Caenorhabditis elegans: one gene and its partner. The protein of the gene in region 1 purifies or fractionates together with the protein of each later gene. This does not show direct contact. Each region holds a gene or a part of one and is shown on either strand. Other genes may lie near its edges. The genes, in order: T24E12.13 and C39F7.5.

Region 1 (8,364 bases):
AGGTTTGTTGTTCAAGCTGTGAAATAAATTTGAAACCCATTTTTTCTAGATCTGACCGAGTTCCTGTTTGACCCAAATGGCAAAAAAGTAGTCCCCCAGATCAAAATGTTTGTAAGGAATCAAAGTAGTTTGTATGGAAACCAGAGATCCACTAAGAGTTACAGTGAGTTTTTGGCTTCATAAAAAGCTTGAGAATAGGCTTTCAGACCTGCCTTGGCCAAAAATTCGTTCGGAAGATAAAGAAGACTGGGCGAAAGTTTGGAGACAGTTGAAGGATATTCAGGCGCATCAGGTCCAGCTGGGATTAATTGTGTTGGAGCGGAAGTTGAAGAATAACGTTAGAAAACGGAAAAATTACAAAGCAAGGGAGCAAAATGGGAAGAAGGAGAAGAGAGATGATAAATAATTGAACGATATTTTCAATTTTTAATTTTAACCTAATAAAAAAATATTCCTCATGCTCATTAACAAAATTTAGGCCAATGTTAGAAATTGTCTGAAACTTTTCAGCTTCAAGGGTTTTGAGACTTCTCTTTTAAACACCTATTTTCAAAATGTTTGGTTCTTTGTTCTCCATCAAAATGAGAGCATCTATAACTATCATTTAAGTGCCCTCATAAAAATTATTCAAGAATAACCGCAAGGAGAGGCAGCTGGCGTGCGGCAGTGAAGAAGGAAAAGGTGAGCCCCTGGTGTGTGCGGGGAGCCTATGACAGACGGTATAAGACTAGAATATTTATATTATTTTTTAATTGATACTAAAAGTATGAATTAATATAAATATGCTTGTTTCAAACCAAATGACAATGGAAAATTAAACTCTAAAAACTAATTAGTATAGGTAACTGGAAACAGCGATAATTTTGAATTTTGCATTTTTCGTAAGTTCAGATTTTTTAAACATCCACTACTAATCTGTGAGAGAAAGAGCTATTATTATTTTTGGTTTTTAAACTTTTCGGCGACAAAAATGTGTGGTTTATGATGACGGAGCTCTAGGTGACAATTATGCTAAAAATATATAAATTGAGGATAACTGGAAACTTGTAAATTGTTGCATAAGTTTTTCGTTGTTTGAACTTTTTCATTTCCTGCAGCACAGTGTTCTACTCGGCCGAGGCAAAATGCGGCTCCTTACTAGCCCTCCTCAAGCCCTAGCAGCAGATTAGATGGCCTAGAAAACCAAAAACATCGACCACCAAATTATCTTTGGTTTTTTACATTTCAGATTTTTTCAAAATTTGTGCAATCAGCTTCAAGACAATTTTCATAAATTAAAGTTAAAAACCGTGCTGAAAAAGATCGTTGAGATTTCAGAAAATGTCTGAAATTGTCTGAAAACTTGGAATTTTGTATAAATTTCCAGTTGCTAGTTAAAAGTTTCGCAGATTTCCCCCATCTTCCTACACCTTCTCCTACTGTTTTCCGTCTCTTACTAGTCACCCTTTGACCTCCAGTGACCTCTTCCCCAGGTACCAATGTTGTCTCTCCCGCTCTACAACCACCGGCTATGCACGATTTCCCACGTTCTTTGTGTTGCCCTTCTATTTCTCTGTGGAGATGGCCTCTTCCGCTCTTTTGGAATCGATTTTTTTTTTGGGTTTTTTGTGGGCCTTTTTTTTTGGTTTTTGCTGAATATCTCGGTCATCATTAACGATTTTAAATTTTTGTTAACTGCAAAACTGTGGAGCAGGAAAATTTAATCAGTTTTGTTGTTTTCACTTTTTTGATAACTTCAGTGGTGACGGAGATATACGCGCACAAAAAGCTGTGTCTTTTCCCGATTTTTTTAAAATTAAATTTCAGATTTAAAGGCTGAAGGAAATGTCCCAGTTTCCGTCTACTTCCTCTGCCGATTTAGTTTCAGGTACCCTTTGGCACTATTATTCTTTTTTTATAATCCTTATTTTCAGATTCCAATGGAGCCGCACTCCAATCTCTCAACTCCGAACTCCACAGCAAACTGATCTCTGCCTTCATCAATATTCAAGACTATGAGCAGTGTAAGTGCTCCGGGTTCCTCTAATTTCATTTAAATTTTTCAGGCAGGCACACTCAGGCCAGGCGTATTTTCTCCTTGGAGGCAACGGTCCGAGCTCAAACCCAGGAGCTCAAACAGCTCAAGGCAGAGGTGCAAGCTCTCCGTCAGCCGAATAGTCCCGTGTCAAAAGTCAACATGAACTCTCCGGAATCTGGGATCTCATCCAGCTCACCGAGCTCGTCGACGTGTCTGGAGAAGTCCTCGGAGGAGCCAGAAGACCTCGATGCCGTTGTATATGAGAAAGACGTTCTGGTCCCGAAAGCCGGCAGAAGCTTCCGATCCTTCGCTGACGCCAAGAAGTTCTGGGAGGAGCATCACAATGAGCCGATCTTGCTGCCAAATGATCCAGAGACTGGTGAGAAAGCTGCCTTTTCTTTGTAGATTTTATAAATTCTAAATAAAAAATTTCCAGATCTGCGCTGCTGCCTCTTCGACCCAGAAATCCCTCACGTACCGCAGTTCAAGAAGCGACCCGCTAATGGATACAGTTTGTACCAGAATCAGAGAAAGTCTGAAGAAGGTCGCTGTGAGTTTATCTAGTTCATATTGAATTAAACGAGAAGTAATTTCAGATGAACCTTGGCTTAGATTGAGTAAAAAGAAAAAGGAAATTTGGGCTGAAATGGGGAAGAAAGTGAGAGCCGAGCAGAATAGGCAAGCCGAGAATGGCTTGATCCATTTCAAGGGCCTGATCGGAAAAGTGAATATCAAACAGGAGCCCGAAGATTATGAAGAATAAGCCCAATTTTTATTTATGTATCAGTTGATAATATGATCTCAAGTAATTCCAATATTCGATTATTTTTGACTATTTCCCTTCTGTTCCTCATATTTCATTTATTGGTTAATTTACATATCTCATATTTGTTATCAATAAATTGAATTCATTACCCTTATCACACACATACGCCCTTATCACCTCATAACTATATTGTAATCACCTCATTATTTGCTCGTTTACGAGTGAAAGAAAATGTCATGTGAAAAGTGATAATGATAGAGTGCAATGGAATGACGTTTTAAATGGAAATGAAGTGTGAAGATAGAGGTTGAAAAATTGCGAGTAATGGGATTTTTATGTTTTCTATCGAATAACACTAGATCAAATGAAAATAAGCATAACTCTTAGCCTAAGTCCGATTTCAAGACTATGACTAAGACAAAGACTAAGCCTAACTTGGAACACCGCCAATGAGTAAGTAGCTAGAGAGATCCCCGGAGCAACAATTACCACTAAATGAAAGTTGGCATCTATAAAATCACAGCTATTTTACAACTCTGAAGATCCAATAAATATCGATTATTTTCAGATGAAGATATGCCACCTGGTCAGATTGAAAAAGAGGCGTTACGAAAACGCCTCTCATCCGCCTTCTTCAAAATTTGAACTTTTCCCACATTTTCGATCTTATGAACCTATTAGGCTGTTTGGGTCATTCTTGACAAGAAACATCAACAGATGCACCCCTTCTCTAGTCAATCCCGCCCAATTTCTGCGGCAGACACTCTGTTGCTCAGCATGTGTCTTTTGGCGGGCTGTGTGCTCATATGGTCCATATTTGTCGGGCCTCGTGTGTCATTTTGATGATTTGTTTTGCAACTCTGATTTTTTCTGTGACTCTTAACCTATATAATTTTAAGTTTTTTCCTTCAATTTCTGTTTCAGATCATGCCAGATATGTCTAATTATTCAGTCAATCAACCATCAGACTTACCTTCCCAATTGACTGAACTTCAAGCTCTCAACCAGGAGCTCTACAATAAGGTGCTAGAGCAGCTTAATGTAATCTACGATTATGAGCATTGTTAGTTTTTTATTTGTTTGTTTCAGCTGGGCCTTATTCTTAATTTTACTTTTTCCAGTCACCCATCGCCTGCAAAATGAAAATATAGAATTAAAAATGAAAATCAAGAGCCAAGAACAGGATCTTCAAGCTCTCAGAGCCAACCAAGCCCAACTCAGCTTGAGCATCCCTACCGTGGCTCAAACAAGCTCCTTCGCCGCAATTTCCCCCATCTCGCCGTGCTTCTCGGGAGTTGCTCCGATGAAAACTCAGGGAGAAGAACATTTTATTGAGGAAGTTTCTCCTTACTTGAAAAATTACGAGGAGGCCTTAATGTATTGGGAGGAAAATCACAACATAGAAATTATGAATCCAGAGTGGCCCGAGACGGGTAAGTAGGAGAGATTTTTGCATGCATCAAAAAAATTTTAACTAGAAAGTTCTAGAAAACAATATTTTACGCATTTTGTCAATTTACAGTTTTTGTTGAAATCAAAGTATTTAAAAAAAAAATTTTTATGTTCGAAATGGCAGAGTCATTATTTTCCAACCAATTTCAGATCTGACATGTTACCTGTTCAATAAGGACATTGGGCAAGTCAAACAAATTGTGATGAGGGCTCCAAATTGCTGCTCCTTGTATGGTAATCAACGGCCATGCAAAATAAGTAAGTTTTTTTTTAAAAGGAGGGCAATTCTTATAACCAACAAGTACCCCCAAATTTCAGATCCACACTGGAAATCTCTACCGGAAAAAACAAAGGAAGTGTGGCAGAAAATGTGGATCGTGTTGAAAGACGAGCAAGTGAAGCAACGAAACGCTGGGCTCATCAGGTTTCCGGATTCAAAACCGAAAAAAGTTGGAAAAGTCTCAATTAAACAGGAAATAATGGAGATGTATTGAACATAAGCCCTTTTTTGTTATATTTTAAATTTTAGTTATGAATAAATTTTAATTATCACCACCTCTATCACCTTATCAGTTGAGCGTCTTTTACTGATAAGAAGTTTTAAACTTTGAACTAGCATAGTTTTTCTCATGGCCTCGTTTCTTAAAACAAAACATACCAGCGCCAAGGCTAAGAGGGTTCCGAACAAAAACATACAACAGGCAGGTGGCTTCTACCGTACACCTAGTGGATGACTTGGCAGTCGGCCAAATCGACCTATTACGCAACATTGCTACTTTTCACAGGTTAGACAGAGTTCTGCTCATCATAGATTGTGCAACAAAGTGATGTATCGTATTGCATGTATACTTTTTGGAACGGGGTGACTTTTTTATTCGAGTGACCTGTCTCTCAAAGTTTATGTTAGCTGATAGTTTGATTTACGAAAATGTTTGGATTGTTTGTAGTTTTTTGTAGTAGTATTCAAGTATTTTTTAAATTTAAATAATAGTTTTTCGAGACATTGGAATTCACTTGCAAAAATATTGTATTGAAAAAAAAAACACATGTTCTACTCACAGTTTTTTATGTAATAATTAAAATTAAAATGGTTTTTGCAAGTTATTTTTCAACCCTAAAATTATTGTTTTCCACAAAATCAATGCTAATTTTTATTATATACACCCATATCTACACAAAAGTTAATCACATACCTTGTCGCCAAATGATATACTATGACATTTTATGACCTGCTCGACAATCAAAATCATAAACTCTTTCAATCGGCGAAAAAAAAGTACGTGGTGTCATGCAAATTTGTGCGACATCGATAAAATGTTCGTTGCTAGCTGGCTCTCGATTGTATAGTGGGAAGTGTGTGTCGGCTTTTATTTTTGTCTTCGATTTTTTTCCCTGTACTTTTTTGTTTCCGAGGGGTCAAAAAGCAATATTTTGAAAGATTTGGAGGCTAATAAGATTGTGGTAAAATTGATAAGAGGCTCTAGTTTGGACGCATCTCAAATAGGCCTAACTTAGACAAATTAAAAGTAGCTCTAATCATTTTTTAAACAATTCAAGCTTTTTCTAATCTCTATACACTCTATACAATTGCTGCTCATTTTCAGTTTCTATTTCCTACGTGAGATTCTGTACAGAAAATCTTTGAACTATCTATTCAAAAATTACGAATTCCCTCAAAAATATGGAAATTCACATTTTTATTCGTTTTTTTCCACCAATGTGAACGCTTATAAAAATGTTTCAAAATATGAGAGCTGCGCCGTTTTATTTATTTATTTTTGTTTCTTATAGATATTCTTCTCAACATTTAATATTTGGAAGTATTACAGTTTTAAAAAATTTAAAAGCTTTCAATTTCTTCTGTTTTTTTGCCATACATTATATTATAACTCACGCTATGTAGTAGTCATAAGCTTCCCCTCTGTCACAATTATTTAAAAAAATACGAAATGCACGTTTGATCTGATCATTTTGTGTTGTTTACCACTGCTAACATCTACAATTTGTCTACTTTTTATTCTGATTTAATATGTATTTTTAGAATTTATTTGTCTTGACGTTGGATCTTTTTTGAATCTGAATTATTTGGATACATTTCTATTTAACTTGGGGACCATATAATTGTTTTTTACTTTTTTTTTCTTGCCGGTGAAATAAAAGGGCACATTCAAAAAATACTTTGGGGGAAACAATTTAAAATAAAAAAAAGCTAGCCTCCATTAACTCAAATTTATTATTTAAAAAAAACATTTCAAATTTTTTCGAACAAATTTGAAGTTTCGAATAACTGATATTCCAATTTTAGCTGTCAATAAATTTTCAAATTCCAAAAAAATCGTTTTCTCCAAAATTAAACACTCTAGTTTGTTTTAAACTTTGCAAATATACTTGATCATATAAAATTGTTTTCTGGTACTCTACGCTACCCCAGATCTTTTTTTTTTAAATTTGTGCTCTGATTTGGCATATCTCTTCTGATCTTGTCACCACTATTTACTGCTAAAACAACCTTCAATGTTCGTTTAGTACGTCAGAACTATAATAAAGGATTGCGAATAATTTTTGAGTCAGAACCTGTCTCCAAGTGTTACTAGGTAAGGTTTGTTCTGACTTGAAAGTAGTAAATATCTGCTACTTTTGTATCAGAACAATATTTCCTTTCTTTGAAAACTCTTCCATTTTGAAAAGTTAATCATACTTTTTATAGAACCTTCTCACTTGACCACCAACTTGCAAAAAAAATGAACCATCAAAATCAGCATCCCGGCTATAACCTTGGCTATCCAGCACCATCTCCACTATTTCAACAACCTCCGCCAAATTATTTCTATCATGGTTAGATAAATGGTTTTCTTTTATAAAAGTTAGTAGAATTTCAGAGCACTACCAGAATCTCCAAAGAAACTTCCTAATTCTGCAAGCGGAAAGGAAAATTGAGTTTGAGCTTCTGAAAAAGTAGACCAAATTTATCGGCAAAAAAATTTGCCGAACGGCAATTGCTGCCCACCACTGCTTTAGATAACGCTTACCGCTTCTATGGTGACAAAATTTTTAATTTTTGTTTCAGAAAATCAACAACTCACCAGCAAATTTAACTTGGTCACACGCCAAAATGCGGACCTCAAAATCGGATTGAGAGGAGTTTTGTTTTCAATCCAAGGGCTTCGCGAAGAGTTATCCGTGGCAAAGCAACGCATTGAAGAAATGAAGGAAGACAGTTTTTTTGGTTAGTTTTGATTTTTGAAAATTTCTTTAAAAATTTCCTTTTCATTTCAGAAAGTATGCCAAAGCTCGAACGGGAAGCTCCAGCATTCATGGACTCTCCAGCAGAAACTTCTTCACCGGATGTTGAGATGGAGGACGTTGTCTATGAAGAAGTTGTTAAAGAAACAGAAGTCGCAAATTTCTAAAGGGACGTGATAGAAATTGATCCAGATGAGATTGAGGTGATCTTCTCTGTAAACGAAAATCGGAAGATTTGTGTGGATGCCATTGAAGAAGAAGATCAAGAGAATCTTGAACCTGTCTTCAGAGATGAGGAAAACGCCATGGAGGTTCATGATAGCGATGCTTACAAGGCCGATGAAAAAGAAGAAGAAAAAGCTGAAGAAGTGGAGCTCGACGACTCCGACGTTGAATCGGAAGAAGAATCAGAAGACGAAGAATCAGATGAAGACCCAGAAGATGGCCCAGCTCCACGTAGATTTGAGACATTCGATGATGCCAAGCAGTTCTGGGCTGAACACTTCGAAGAAGAGCTGATTCCGAATGAGGATCTGGGTGAATAGAGTTAAAGCTTCATACTTCAAGTATCAAACTGTTTCAGACCTCAACTGCTACCTCTTCAACCCCAACGGTGAGCCAGTGGTTCCACAGCCGGTGAAGCGCGCGATGAACCCTCGTTCCCTCTTCAACAACCAGAGGCCTGTTCAGGTGTACCGTAAGTACACAAACCTTAAAGTTTTTTTTCAATTAATCAAATTCAGATCAAAGATGGGAGTTGCTTCCAAATGAAGAGGCTGAGCATTGGAAAGAGATGTGGGTACAGATGAGAGATGAGCAACGAGAGCAGATTGAGGAGCAACTTATTGAATTTCGATATTCTTCTAAATCCTGAATTTACACAAAA
Region 2 (12,822 bases), on another chromosome or scaffold:
TGCCAGAATTTAAAATATCCGGAAATCGGAAAATTGCCGGAATCGAAAAAAAAATCAAATCAAAATCAAAATCATATGAAGTCATTTTTTTTTATTTCAAAAAACTGTTCAAAATGTTCAAATATACTAGAAAATACCAATTGATAAAAATATATAAAAGCTGATTTTTTCAAAAATTCAAAAGTATGGGAAAATCATATGAAGTCATTCTTTTTTGTTTCAAAAAACTGTTCAGCCTAACCAAATATACCAGAAAAGGCCAAACAAAGTATGCTAGCTTGTACAGAAGTTTATTTTATCGCCTATTTACCAGAATTGAGAATTTCCGGCGACCCCTAAACCCCAAATTCGAAAGCAAATTTATTCAGAGACACCAAGAAGTTCATTGAAAGTAAGTAAAAGAAAGGAGACATTCAGATCAAAGAGGTTCGTCACAACTGTTGGAAGTTGCTGCAGCAGTACTTGTAGTTGTCGTTTGGACGTTGCTCAATTTCCTCTCCTGAAGCAGCATTTTCGCAGACTCAATTGGATTGCTTCTCTGAAAATTTTCTACAGTGAAATTCAACTGAAGAAACTAAAATAATTACCGAGTAGACATACTCCTCTACTTTCTCAATATCAAAGACCAGCTTGCCCGGCTTTTGGCTTTCATCCGATATACTTCCGCTCCGTTGTTTCTCCTCCATTTGTTGTGGATTGACAATGGATCGTAGAGTATTGGAAAAGACAAGTTGAGGCGTGAAGTGAATCTCATCTCGTTTCATCAATTCCGTCAATGGTTGAAGCTCATTGAGCATAAGCTGTGTGTTCTCGATGGTTTGAAGAGTGATCTTTTTGTCGTGATACAACTCCAAATGCTCACTTCCAACGGAGATTATTGGTGCTGTAGTCTTCTAAATCATATGGATTATTGAAAAAATATCATTTATTTACATGAGCTTACCAAATCTTCATCATTTGGCTCAGGATTCACAGCCCAAAATGGAACTCCATCTGCATTGAACACATTATATGGGGACATCATCAGAACATCAGCCAACTTTGGAAATTGGTCATAATCATCCATATTCAAGAAAACTGATACTTCTGATTTCTTCTTTGCTTCCTTCGGCTTTGTGTAGAAAGAAGATGCTTCATCCATTCCATTATCTTTCTGTACAGGACAGGGTTTCTTTGTTGGAAGTCTGTCCATCAATAGTTTTGATTTTTCATCGATTGGTGCAGTGATTGGAGTGGCATTCTTCTTTTCTAGCTTGAACTTTTCGACAACTCGCTTCATTTCAGTATCGTCAATACCTCTGCTGGTAACTTCAACGTTCAGATCTTGACCAATCGGAGTGGGAACTAGGCCTGGAAATATGCTCAATTTAGATTATACTATAAAGTTTTGTTAAAAATAAATTCATACAAATATTACTCTGATAATAAATGTTGCGCCCAAAAAAATTTTAGTTTTTAAACCAAAACTTTTATGTCGAATTCCTAACTTTTATAGAAGACGGGAATTACAGTACTCTTCATTCAAAATAAAATTTTCGTGGCGAGACCGTATACCCTTTTTAAGGCAGAATGGCAAAGTTTCGCAATGATATAATATTCTCATTCTTAGCGTCAAAGGGTGATCTACTACAAAGTTCTACAAAAGTAGCATTTTTTCTATAATATTATTTCATCGTGTTGTTGAAAAAGAAATGCATAAAAACTACTGGATTTTCGAAATATATTCGGATAACGTGAACTTTGCAGTTCGAATAAAACTGAGCACTAATGATAAAAAGGAGAGATTGCCACGTAAACCGCAAAATTACGAAATTTCGTAATTCTGCTCTAAAAATGGTATACATAGTTTTATCTTGAATGCAAAAAGTGTAATTCTCTTTAAAAAAAGTACTGTAATTTCCGTAATCTATAAAAGTTAAGAATAAGATAATGTGGCCTGTCGAAGTCCAACATCGAAGTTGCGGTTCAAAAGCGGAAAATCATCAGACAATGTATATTTTTTGGCGCAACATTCCCCATCAGAGTATTATTTGTATGAAAATATGGTGTATTCCGTAATAAAACTACCTTCTCTACGCCTGGATGATTTTCCGCGGGCCTTTTTCGACGGTTTTGCATCAGCTTCCTCGTTCACAGCATCTTCCTCTTGTTCTCGAAAATCTTCAGTTCTTGTATTTTCCGAAGTTTTCTTCTTTTTCTGCTGCTCCTGCTCTACTGTCAAGCCTCTTTCCTTCAGCGGTGTACTTGATTTACTCGGTATTTTACCAGAAGAGGTACGGTTTGACTTTGGACGGGGTTTGTTGCTTTTCGCCTCAGATTTTTTCTTCTAAAAAGGTAATGATTATTCTGTAAACAGACGAGAAAAAAAATGAAAACTCACTATTTTAATGTTCTTTTTTTGCGCTTTTCTTTTAAAGCCTCCTTTGGAAAACAGTCCCATATTCTTAGCAGCTAAGATGATGGAAAACTAAAATAGGAATAAATTTGAAAGTTAATTAAATGTGCAAGTTCGAACGTTTTCCAATAACCCACGTGGATACCGTGGTTTTTTTTTTGAAAATATAAGATAATTCACGTGAAATCTTTTTAGAGTCAGAGTCTTATGTTTTGTCACTATTTTTTGGATCTGTTGCTTTTTTGGACATGTGCCGGACAATTTTTTCAATTTTTCATTTTTTGCCGACTTTGGAATGTTTCATTTTTCGTGTTTTTTTTTCGCTTTTTTCCTTGTTTCTGGGCACAGGGTTCTGCTGTTTTCAGATTTTTTTGGGATTGTGTAATTTTTGCATTTTTCCAAGAATTTCTATATTTATTTTTTTTTAATTTCCGCCCAGCCTAAGCCTAAGACTAAGCCTAAGACTAAGACTAGACCTAAGCTTAATCCTAAGTCTAAACATAAGCATATGCCTGAGCCTACGCCTAGGACTACACCTACGCCTAAGCGTAAGCGTTAGACTAAACCTAAGCGAAAGCCTAGGCATAAGCCTAAGTCTAAGACTAAGCCTACGCATAAGTCTAATACTAAGCCTAAGCCTACGTCTAAGATTAACCTAAAAGCCTAAGCATAAGCCTAAGTCTAGGCCTAAGCCTATTTCAAAACCTACGCCTGAGCCTAAGCCTGGTCCTGAGCCTAAGCCTAGGCCGAAGTCTTAGTCTAAGCCTAAGCCTAAGCCCAAGACTGAGTCTAACCCTAAGTCTAAGCCTAAAACTAAGCCTGAAACTGGTTATAGCCAGCTGTGAAATTGTGTTCATAACATTCAAATAAATAAATAAAGAAGAATAAAATGGCTTTACGGGCATATTTATAAATCTGTTTGTACTATAGAATATCTTGACATCCGTAATTATGAAAAAAAACCCGTTTCCAATATGACGAGTAAAAAAAATTAGAAAATTTCCTTGCATCCTGGTGATAGCACATCGGGAGGCGTGCTTGGTTTATTGGAAGTGTCCTCCGGCAAAAGGTGGCAGGATATGCATTCCTCGGGAATGTCGAGCTCAATTAGTGTTCGCCGTATTATCTGTAAAATGTTGTTTTATTTGTTATGCTACATCAATTTTTTAAATAAATCTTCTCACCATTTCTAACGCCACTCTCCTATGATAATTCCGTAACAGACTTGTGAAATCAGGATCCTCCGTTCTATTCAAAACTAGAACCTTCACTTTGTTGAACAACTCGCCGCTTAATATATCCGGGTATAGATTTGTGAATTCCAATGAGCATGGTGCATTGGTGTCCGTAACGAGCAATTTCCCAAACCAGGAAGGATCTTTGATGTTTCGATGTTTCAGTAGAGCAGTGTGATAAGGTCTGAAAACTTACCATTAGTTGGGGCTCCAATGAGGTCGCCGCGCCGGCCTCACGGCGTCACTCAAGCCGCATGTAGCCGAATGTATAGAGCGGCGCGGAGCACCGAACGTGTCGGCCGCTTCAAATAACTACCTTTCGCAATTCATTGCACACGCGGAGCTGTTAGCCCTACTACTACTACTACTACTACTACTACTACTACTACTACTACTACTACTACTACTACTAGTAAAACAATTTTATTATTGAATTTATTACAAACCTGTAATATCTTGGTCCGGTACTTTCATCTTCTGGCTTCAGCCAATGAACATCTGGGTTAATCTCTGAAGTTGATGCACATACAACTAGATCCTGTCCCAACGGAGACTGCTCCAGGATCCCCTTGTTATAGGCATTTGTCAAGTCTTGATGGAATGGTGGTAGCGAATAGTCTTTCCTTATATTATCCGCTAGAGGTTTCAAAATCTCTTTAAGCTCGTCTCCAGACTTCTCAGACTTTTTCAGGCCTCGTCGACTTATAGAGTGGCATGTGTCTGCCACTAAGTTCGGCTCGCGGTCTTCCATTTTCTTTAGAAGAGCGTGTTCACCCCATCGACAGCAAGCGTCGAGAAGGTCCAGTTCGGTAGTTTGAAGGAACTGACTCTGTGTGATCTCTGTCATCTCATTGGAAGTGAGCTCGAAAAAACAGCTTGATGCGGCAATTTTCAGAAAATCACGCTCTATGAACCGAAATGCGTGAGTCGAGATGTACTTCGAGTTGTTAGCTCGGCCCCATTGAAGAATGCCAACCACATTGTCACATGAGAGATTCTTGACGACAACATCTTCGCAAGCTGTAATGTAATGAGTTAGCTAGCTGGGATACCAGAAAACCGGTTAATCGGGGGAACCCGATCGAGGAATTGACCACGCCCACACGTAATGCCATTACGGTTTGATCTACAAAAAATGCGGGTATTTTTTTCCCAAAAAAAGGTGACTTCAGCACGTTGTTAACCGTGCGAAATCAGTTGAGAACTCTGTGTCTCTTCTCCCGCATTTTTTGTAGATCTGCGTAGATCAAGCCGAAATAAGACACTCTGACACCACGTGCCGTTCGGCAGTTCTTTTGTAGACAAATTTGGCAAATTGCCAGTTTGCCGATTTGTCGAAAATTCTCAATTTCGGCAATTTGCTGTTTGCCGGTTTGCCGGAAATCATAGAACCGTGCGGAAATTCAATTTTGCAACCTCCGCACAGTTAATTTTTCTCTAAGTCTCCCAATCCCTAACATCGAGCAGCTTCTGTTTTTCGAGACCGTGCGGCAGTTGCAAATTTGAATTTCCGCAAGGTTTTGTGGGCCCCCCGATTGGGACCCCCAAAATTATCCCAAGCAAAAAACCGTGCCGTAGGACTGCAAAAATACGCTCCGCCTCTTTTTCTCTGCGACGCTACTTTTTTTTGCAAAATTCACGGCGCGGGTGGGCGGCGAACGAATAATTCCGGTAAATCAGCAAATTGCCGGAATTGCAATCTCCGGCAAATCGGCAAACCGGCAATTTGCCAGAATTTAAAATTTCCAGCAAATCTGGAAAATTCCGGTATTGAACATTTCGGCAAACCGGCAAATTGCAAATCCTACGAATGTTCCTACACATATTTTGGAAAGTAAGCAAGTTATATCAACTTATCTAAAGAAAACTATACATATTCCGAAAAAAGCAACTTGCCGAAACATTTCCGGCAAACCGGCAAATTGCAAACTGCCGGAATTGAAAATTTCTAGCAAATCGGCAAACCGGCAATTCGCCGAATTTGTCTACAAAAGAACTGCCAAACGGCACGTGGTGTCAAAGTGTCCCATTTTGGTTTGATCTATTTAGATCTACAAAAAATGCGGGAGAAGAGACGCAGAGTTCTCAACTGATTTTGCATGGTTAAGAACGTTCTGACGTCACATTTTTTGTGGAAAAAATTCCCGCATTTTTTGTAGATCAAACCGTAATGGTATTGTCTGGCACCACGTGAAACGGCGATTGCCGCCCATCCCTGATTCGCGGATCGATCGTTTAAGTAAAATAGATACCTTGAACCAACTGTTCGACTTCGAAAAACCGTGCAATCTCAATTAATTGCAGAGCTCTAGCCAGTTGTAAATCCGGAGTTCTACCACTATTCGTTATAGCTTTGGCTTGTGATAACGAAGATATAGAGTCTTCGGATTTTGGCGCCAAACTCCAATCCAGTCGATCAGTGTACAGAAATGAGACAAATATCGGAGCGAATGCTTGTGGGAATATTAGTTCAGAGAAGACAATTCGTTTGGGACGACTTGTCGAACTTCCTTCATTTTTCTCAGTCAACTTTCTCAGCAGTAACGATCGTATGATTTTACTTCGTGAAGCAGCGATTAGAGAAGAGCATCGAATTTTGAAGCTCTCGCTGTTTTCTTCGGTGTTTTCTGAAATAATTGCATTTAGATTTTTTGTAAAGTAATTAGCTTTTTTGTTCTTTTTTTTCGAACCTATTGCTTTTTTTGGCACTTTTTATCGAATTTTTTAATGGTATTTTGCCCGATCTTGGAATGTCTCATTTTTCAGATTTTTTTAAATTTTCCTGAGTTCTTGAATTTTCTGAGTTTCTTTTTTCTTTTTTATTCCCAGCTTAACCCTGAGCCTAAGCCTAAAGCTAAGCCTAAGCCTACGCCTGTGCCTAACTCTAAGCCAAAGCCAAAGCCTGAGCCTGAGCCTGAGCCTAGTTGTAAGCATAAGCCTAAGCCCGGCCCTAGTCCTAAGCCTAAGCCTGGCCCTAGGCCTAAGCCTAAGCCTAAGTCTTTGAGTTCTGAGCCTTCTCCTTAGCATAAGCATACGCCTAAGTTTAAGCCTAAGCCTATACCTAAGCCTAAGCCTGAGCCTGGGCCTAATCCTAAGCCTAAGCCTAAACCTAAACATAGTCCCGTGCTTAAGCCTATTGATAAGCCTAAGCCTAAGCCCAAGGCTAAGAAACTAAAAAACTATTCTACTCACTTCCGTCGACAACTTCAATTATCAAGTCGCCATGCTTCAGATCCTGCTTGTACATATGCTTCACATCTTCTTCAAGTTTCTTAAAACATCCAAAATCTGTGCACAGTTGTTCGAGCATCTCACTTCCCAAGTTTTCCGGCCATTGTTCGTTATAAATGTACGATTTCAAGAATATCTCGACCGCGTCTTGTTCGAATTTCAAAAATTTTTGCTCGCACAAATCAAAGTTTTCCGGGTTCTCATCGTAGTTTGCCGAGATTTTGAGATTTGTACATCTTTGAGAAACGAATGCGCGGTTAGCGCGAATTGAGGTGAATTTGAATAAGATATTCAGATTTCCTGACACGGTTCTCCCGCTCTCGAAGTCTCTGAGGAAAGAATTTGTCGGTTTTCTTGAATTATCACATAGTCGCTGAAACTCGAGTAGCTTCGAATCGGCTTCAAATTCTGCTAGAAGAAGGTTGAGATCTTGAACTGGCCAACTTTTGATGAGTTCCTCGAACGGTCGGATTTGGTCTCGAGTGGAAGATTTTCTCTGCAAAAGATTTGTCGTTTATTATTTAATTTATTTATCCCGACGCCACGCGGTTCTGGCTTAACTTAAAAATTGAAATGGAAGAGTTTGCGCCGAACTAGGCCATTTTGGCTCGTCCATATCTTGGGTAGATTTACGGCGCGTTGCGTGTCGCGTCGCGGCTCGATTTTCGTTGTGTGGAGTACACAACACTTTTCCACGCGTTGTCCGGCGGACGATTGTCAATGGAGCGCAAAAAATTAAATGAGGAAAGCCAGTACTCCTGGTGACGCGGAAGTTGGACGGTCTCGACACGACAAATATTTTGCCAAATGCGATAATGTGTGCGCCTTTAACTAGTACTGTAACTTCAAACTATACATTATGGGAACGAAACAACATATTTGACGCGCAAAATATCTCGTAGCGAAAACTACAGTAATCCTTTAAATGACTACTCTAGCGCTTGTGTCGATTTACGGGATCTCGATTTTTGAAATGAATTTCGAAATTAAGCAAAAAATTGGAAAATAATTTCGCTGTCACTAGAAGAAATTAATTTCAAACATCGCTCCCGTAAATCGACACAAGTCATTACTGTAATTTTCGCTACGAGACCACGAAATTCTAAAAATGCGCATTACACAATATATATTTGACGCGCAAAATATCTCGTAGCGAAAACTACAGTTTTAAAAATTAAAAACGATTTTTTTTCAACTTCAATGATTTTTTTTTGTCATTTTTGTGTTTTTTTTTAATATTTTATCGATTAATTAATGATTTCTGTAAATCGACACCAGCGCTACACAATCCATTTAAAGAATTACTGTAGTTTTCGCTGCGAGATATTTTGCGCGTCAAATATGTTGCACAATACGCATTCTCATAATTTTGTGTTCCCGTAATATATAATTGATGGAAAAAAACGAAAGTTTGAAGTTTTTACAGTTGGATTTAAAGGCGCACGCACACACTTAATTTGCATTTAACAAAAGTTTGTCGTGTCGAGACCGGATATCGTATTTTCGGATTTTAAAATCCGTTTTTGATATTTTCAGAGTGCTTAAAACTTACTTTGAACGAAAACTTGAGTCGCGAAGTTGCTCTCAACACATTTCGAGCGCTCCGCAAACCGTTTCTCGGGGAGTTTTGACTGGTAGAAGTGAGACTAAAAGTTTAAAATTTCCATAAATTATTTTTATTTTTTACTACGCACCTTAATCTATCTTGTGCAACTTGTGAAGAATTCACTCCCATATGTAGCTTCTGTGGAAAAAATCTGCAAAATCAATAGATTAATCTGATTATTTCCTAGATTGGAAAGGATCTTCAAATAGTGAAGTTCTTTTTATGCTTTCAGATATTCAGAAAATTAGATAAAATTCGTATTATTTATATATTTATATTATATATTATTTATATATTTATAGGTATGTATTTTCGATCAAATAAATTCAATAAAAACATGTTTTTATTTCAATAATGCATGTGCGCCCCATCGCACGCGTTGCGCCGCAGCCGCTCCGCAGTCACGGGGTATTCATCTCTCTGCCTCGCCACGTCATTTCTCCCGATTCCACAGCTTTTCCTGGCTAATTTTATCCATTTTTCGACTTTTTAAAAGCTTCCAGACGTTCTTTATTGTGTTTCTGATGTTAATATCTGCCTATTGGCGTGATCAGAGTCGAAATTATGCCGAAAAAGTAATTTTTATCGATAAAAAAGTCTTGCGAAATATTTTCTAGCTTTGGAGTCTGTAAACTGATCCGGTGGAATTTTAGAATTTTTCCTTTCAGGAAAAATTCTTTTACTGATAAAAGAGTCAGGTTTTCTTGCACTGTTCGTCTGGATAAAACCGGTTTTCTCTCGTTGCTTTCTCTTTTGTTTACAAACCGCACCGCGATCAATAAATTATACACGTTGTCTCCTGTTGCTGACCGATTTGTCATATGATTTGTCACCGTTCTCATCTTTACTTTCGCAATCCTTTTTGACACTCATTTTCCTCATTCTCGCATCGATTCCTCATGCTTTATTCAATTCGCAATTTATAATTTTTCAGGGGGTTCCAATTTATCAGATCGACAAAAAGGAGATGGCAGCAATGAACCCTGAATAGTGAGTTTGCGGCAGAAGAATATTCGGTTTCTAACAATTTTTTTCCCAATTTCAGCGACTACCTCTTCAAACTCCTCCTCATCGGAGATTCTGGCGTCGGAAAATCGTGCCTGTTGCTGCGTTTCGCCGATGACACATACACTGAATCATACATCTCCACTATCGGAGTTGACTTTGTAAGTTTTCAGTATTTCCGTCGAAATTATTTATTATGATTTTGTAATTTTCAGAAAATCCGTACTATTGAGCTCGACGGCAAAACTATCAAGCTTCAAATCGTGAGTTTAACCAAATAAAATGGCGAATTCGTTTTAAAACAGTTATTTTTCAGTGGGACACTGCTGGTCAGGAACGTTTCCGCACAATTACATCGAGCTACTACCGCGGAGCTCACGGAATTATCGTTGTCTACGATATCACTGACCAAGTTAGTTTATTTTCCTAAAAAGCTTATAACAATAAATATTATGAGCATTTTTCAGGAGACATTCAACAACGTGAAGCAGTGGCTTCAGGAAATCGATAGGTACGCATGTGAGAACGTCAACAAGCTGTTGGTCGGAAACAAATGCGATTTGACAGCGAAGAGAGCTGTGGAGACTCAAGCTGCCCAGGATTATGCTGGACAACTCGGAATCCCGTTCCTCGAGACATCCGCCAAGTCATCGACGAATGTTGAACAGGTTTGTTGGGCTAAAAATGATTTTTAAAAAAATAAAATCACATTTCAGGCCTTCCTTACCATGGCTTCGGAAATCAAATCACGTATGGGACCAGTTCAAGGAGCCGGAGGTGCTCCAGGTGTGCGTATCACGGGAAGTCAACCGGTTCAAGACAAGAAGAGCGGTGGATGTTGTTAATCGAAACGATAATCTCTGTGATACCCCCCTCTTCGGCACTCTTTCACCATCAAGCTCTTAGTCGTATTTTTTTGTTTCTTTCCACTGAAAATTTTCTAATGCAACCCCTCTTCCTATCACTCTAAATTTTATCTAATGTAATTTTTTTTTGATTTTCACTTCTTTTTCTTCTGCTGTCTTTTCTCTCCCCTTATAAAAAATTCCTTCACCCACCCCCAAATTCACGTCGTAACCTAAATTATTTTCTTTTTTGAATGTGTGTGTCTGTGTGAATGTACATCCCCACGATTTTACGCTTTTTCTCCGCGAAAATAGATAATTTGTGTTGTGAAAAAATATCCTTTCCCCCTATCCACCACCCAAATCACCCCCTTCAAAAAGAGTTTTATATATTTGCTTCCCTCTTTTTTTTGTCTAAGCCCTATCCATAAACTTAAATGTGAATTTTATTGTGCTTCTGTTTTAGTTTTTATTTATCAATTATCTTTAGGCGAACCATTCCCGGAAAAAGTCGAATTTCGATAACAAGTACAACAATTGGAGGATAATTAACGCGATGCCGACCCAGAACATATCGAATATCGGAATTCTACGTGGCACCTCTGGTTCGTCCGAGGATGTGGCGGTGGCGGCATTGGAAGAGAAGTCCTCCTCGAGACAGTCGATAACCATCGCGTCTTCATTCTCGATAACAATCCCGAGACGGCTAGCCAACTTCTGCAATGAAGCATGTATAAGTGTGGTGCAGTCAAAGATCCTTTATACCTTCAGCTCTCGAGCTCCAAGCACGGCGACTTCTCCTGCAGCATTCCAATGCAGCAGTGCCAACGCGTCTTCGGCACTCCCAATAAGTTCACCACTGCCAGATGGTGCACGATTCCACTGCAACAGTGGATCGATTACATTTTCGAAAAGTTCGTCGGAACTTCGTGGAGCTCCGATGTAGAACCACATGTTTCCGGATGCAAAGTCACAGTCCTCGACGGTGGCTCGGATCTCTTGACTTGTCCAGATCTTTGCATCCGTTGAAACGTAGATGCTGTTGTCGTTACCGGCACTCGTCGTCAGAATAGACGTGGCAGGTCTCGATGGATAATGGTCGAACGGTGTGGGATTCCACGAATTTCGAACAATTATGTAGGCCGGCCGGTCGGCGAGAAGAAGCTGAGCAGCCATCGGCAGAAATTCTGTTAGCCATTTTCGTGAGCCGGCAGTTGTTGGATTGACACACGCCTCCATGAGCCACATTGGAGACTGAAACTGAAACTTGTAATAAAAAAAATATTTTTGATCTAAAGTCGAGATTTTTTCTGGGAAAATCAGAAAATCTCGTTTTTTTTCCCCCGATTTTAGCTAAAATTTTAGGTGGTTGCCTTTCAAGTCCTATTATCCAATAGCGAAATGTTGTAATTTTCGACGCAAAAGTACGGTAACCGGTCTCGACACGATTTAAAAAAATTATATTTTATGAAACGATGCATGCGCCTTTAAAAAGTATAGCTATTTCGCAATCAGCTTCGGCTTCTTTAATTTTTTCTTGTTTCTTTTAAAAATTTAAAGTTTTTTTTGTGAAAATTGATAAAATTATAAAGTCATATACTATGGGAACACAAAATTTTGAGAAGTCTGCGTATTGCGTAACATATTTAAAGCTCAAAATATCTCGTGGCGAAAACTACAGTAATTCTTTAAATGGATACTGTAGCGCTGGTGTCGATTTACGGGCTCGTTTTTTTTTTTTTTTTAAATTAAATTTAATTAATACGAAAAAATGAACGAAAATAGAATCGAGCCCGTGAATCGACACCTGCGCTACAGTATCCATTTAAAGAATTACTGTAATTTTCGCTATGAGATATTTTGCGCGTCAAATATGTTGCGAAATACACATTTTCAGAAAAAATTGTATTCAAGTAATACAAAAAACATCTGAAAATAGGAAAAGTGCAAGATTTCGAGACTACTGTACTTTTTAAAGGCGCACACTTCTTTCTAAATTTTCGGTTTTTACCTTTTTGAGTCAAAAATCAAAAAAAAACGCATCTATAGATATATGTGTCGATTTACGCAGCTCGTGTACTCCTCGAGGAGAACATTTTCCAGGCTAATCCCGGGGTTCTGGTCTTCCTCATTGAATTTTTTGCGCTCCATTGAAAATCGCCAGACGGACAACGCGTGGGAAAGTCGTGTACTCCACACGGACAAATATATTTAGTCTTACAACTAAAATCGAGCCGCGACGCGACACGCAACGCGCCGTAAATCTACCCCAGATATGACCGAGCCAAAATGGCCTAGTTCGGCAAACTCTTCCATTTTTATGAAGGAAGCCAGAAATCCGTGCAAACGGAAACAAAAAATATTTAATTTTCTAATTTTTTTGGTTTGCTCCGGAAAACTTTAGAAATTAAACAAATTTGTGCACTCTTGCGGAATATCAATAGCTGGCCGAGTTTCCGATTTTTCTAGGCCCCGTCGCTTTTTTTGTGTGCCAAAATACTCACT

The links.
Region 2: the proteins of T24E12.13 (region 1) and C39F7.5 fractionate together in Caenorhabditis elegans (co-fractionation; one large-scale study listed by BioGRID). This does not show direct contact.

The regions. Positions count from the first base shown.
Region 1 is NC_003280.10:3,783,751-3,792,114, forward strand, and holds T24E12.13 (Coiled-coil domain containing 112), read left to right. Parts: upstream 1-3,700; 5' UTR 3,701-3,710; coding exon 3,711-3,846; intron 3,847-3,904; coding exon 3,905-4,216; intron 4,217-4,385; coding exon 4,386-4,493; intron 4,494-4,553; coding exon 4,554-4,729; 3' UTR 4,730-4,786; downstream 4,787-8,364. Other genes in the region: T24E12.2 (uncharacterized protein), read left to right, coding at 1-2, 50-163, 207-406; T24E12.1 (HMG box domain-containing protein), read left to right, coding at 1,825-1,867, 1,914-2,003, 2,046-2,396, 2,454-2,567, 2,614-2,780.
Region 2 is NC_003283.11:1,260,569-1,273,390, reverse strand, and holds C39F7.5 (BACK domain-containing protein), read right to left. Parts: upstream 8,619-12,822; 5' UTR 8,597-8,618; coding exon 8,556-8,596; intron 8,508-8,555; coding exon 8,414-8,507; intron 7,358-8,413; coding exon 6,823-7,357; intron 6,258-6,822; coding exon 5,883-6,257; intron 4,651-5,882; coding exon 4,077-4,650; intron 3,815-4,076; coding exon 3,580-3,814; intron 3,522-3,579; coding exon 3,387-3,521; 3' UTR 3,231-3,386; downstream 1-3,230. Other genes in the region: Y75B7B.1 (DNA-directed RNA polymerase III subunit RPC4), read right to left, coding at 419-538, 588-893, 944-1,350, 2,068-2,326, 2,381-2,440; rab-1 (RAB family), read left to right, coding at 9,435-9,457, 9,513-9,633, 9,688-9,735, 9,789-9,884, 9,940-10,140, 10,189-10,317; C39F7.1 (uncharacterized protein), read right to left, coding at 10,804-11,034, 11,083-11,577, 12,822-12,822.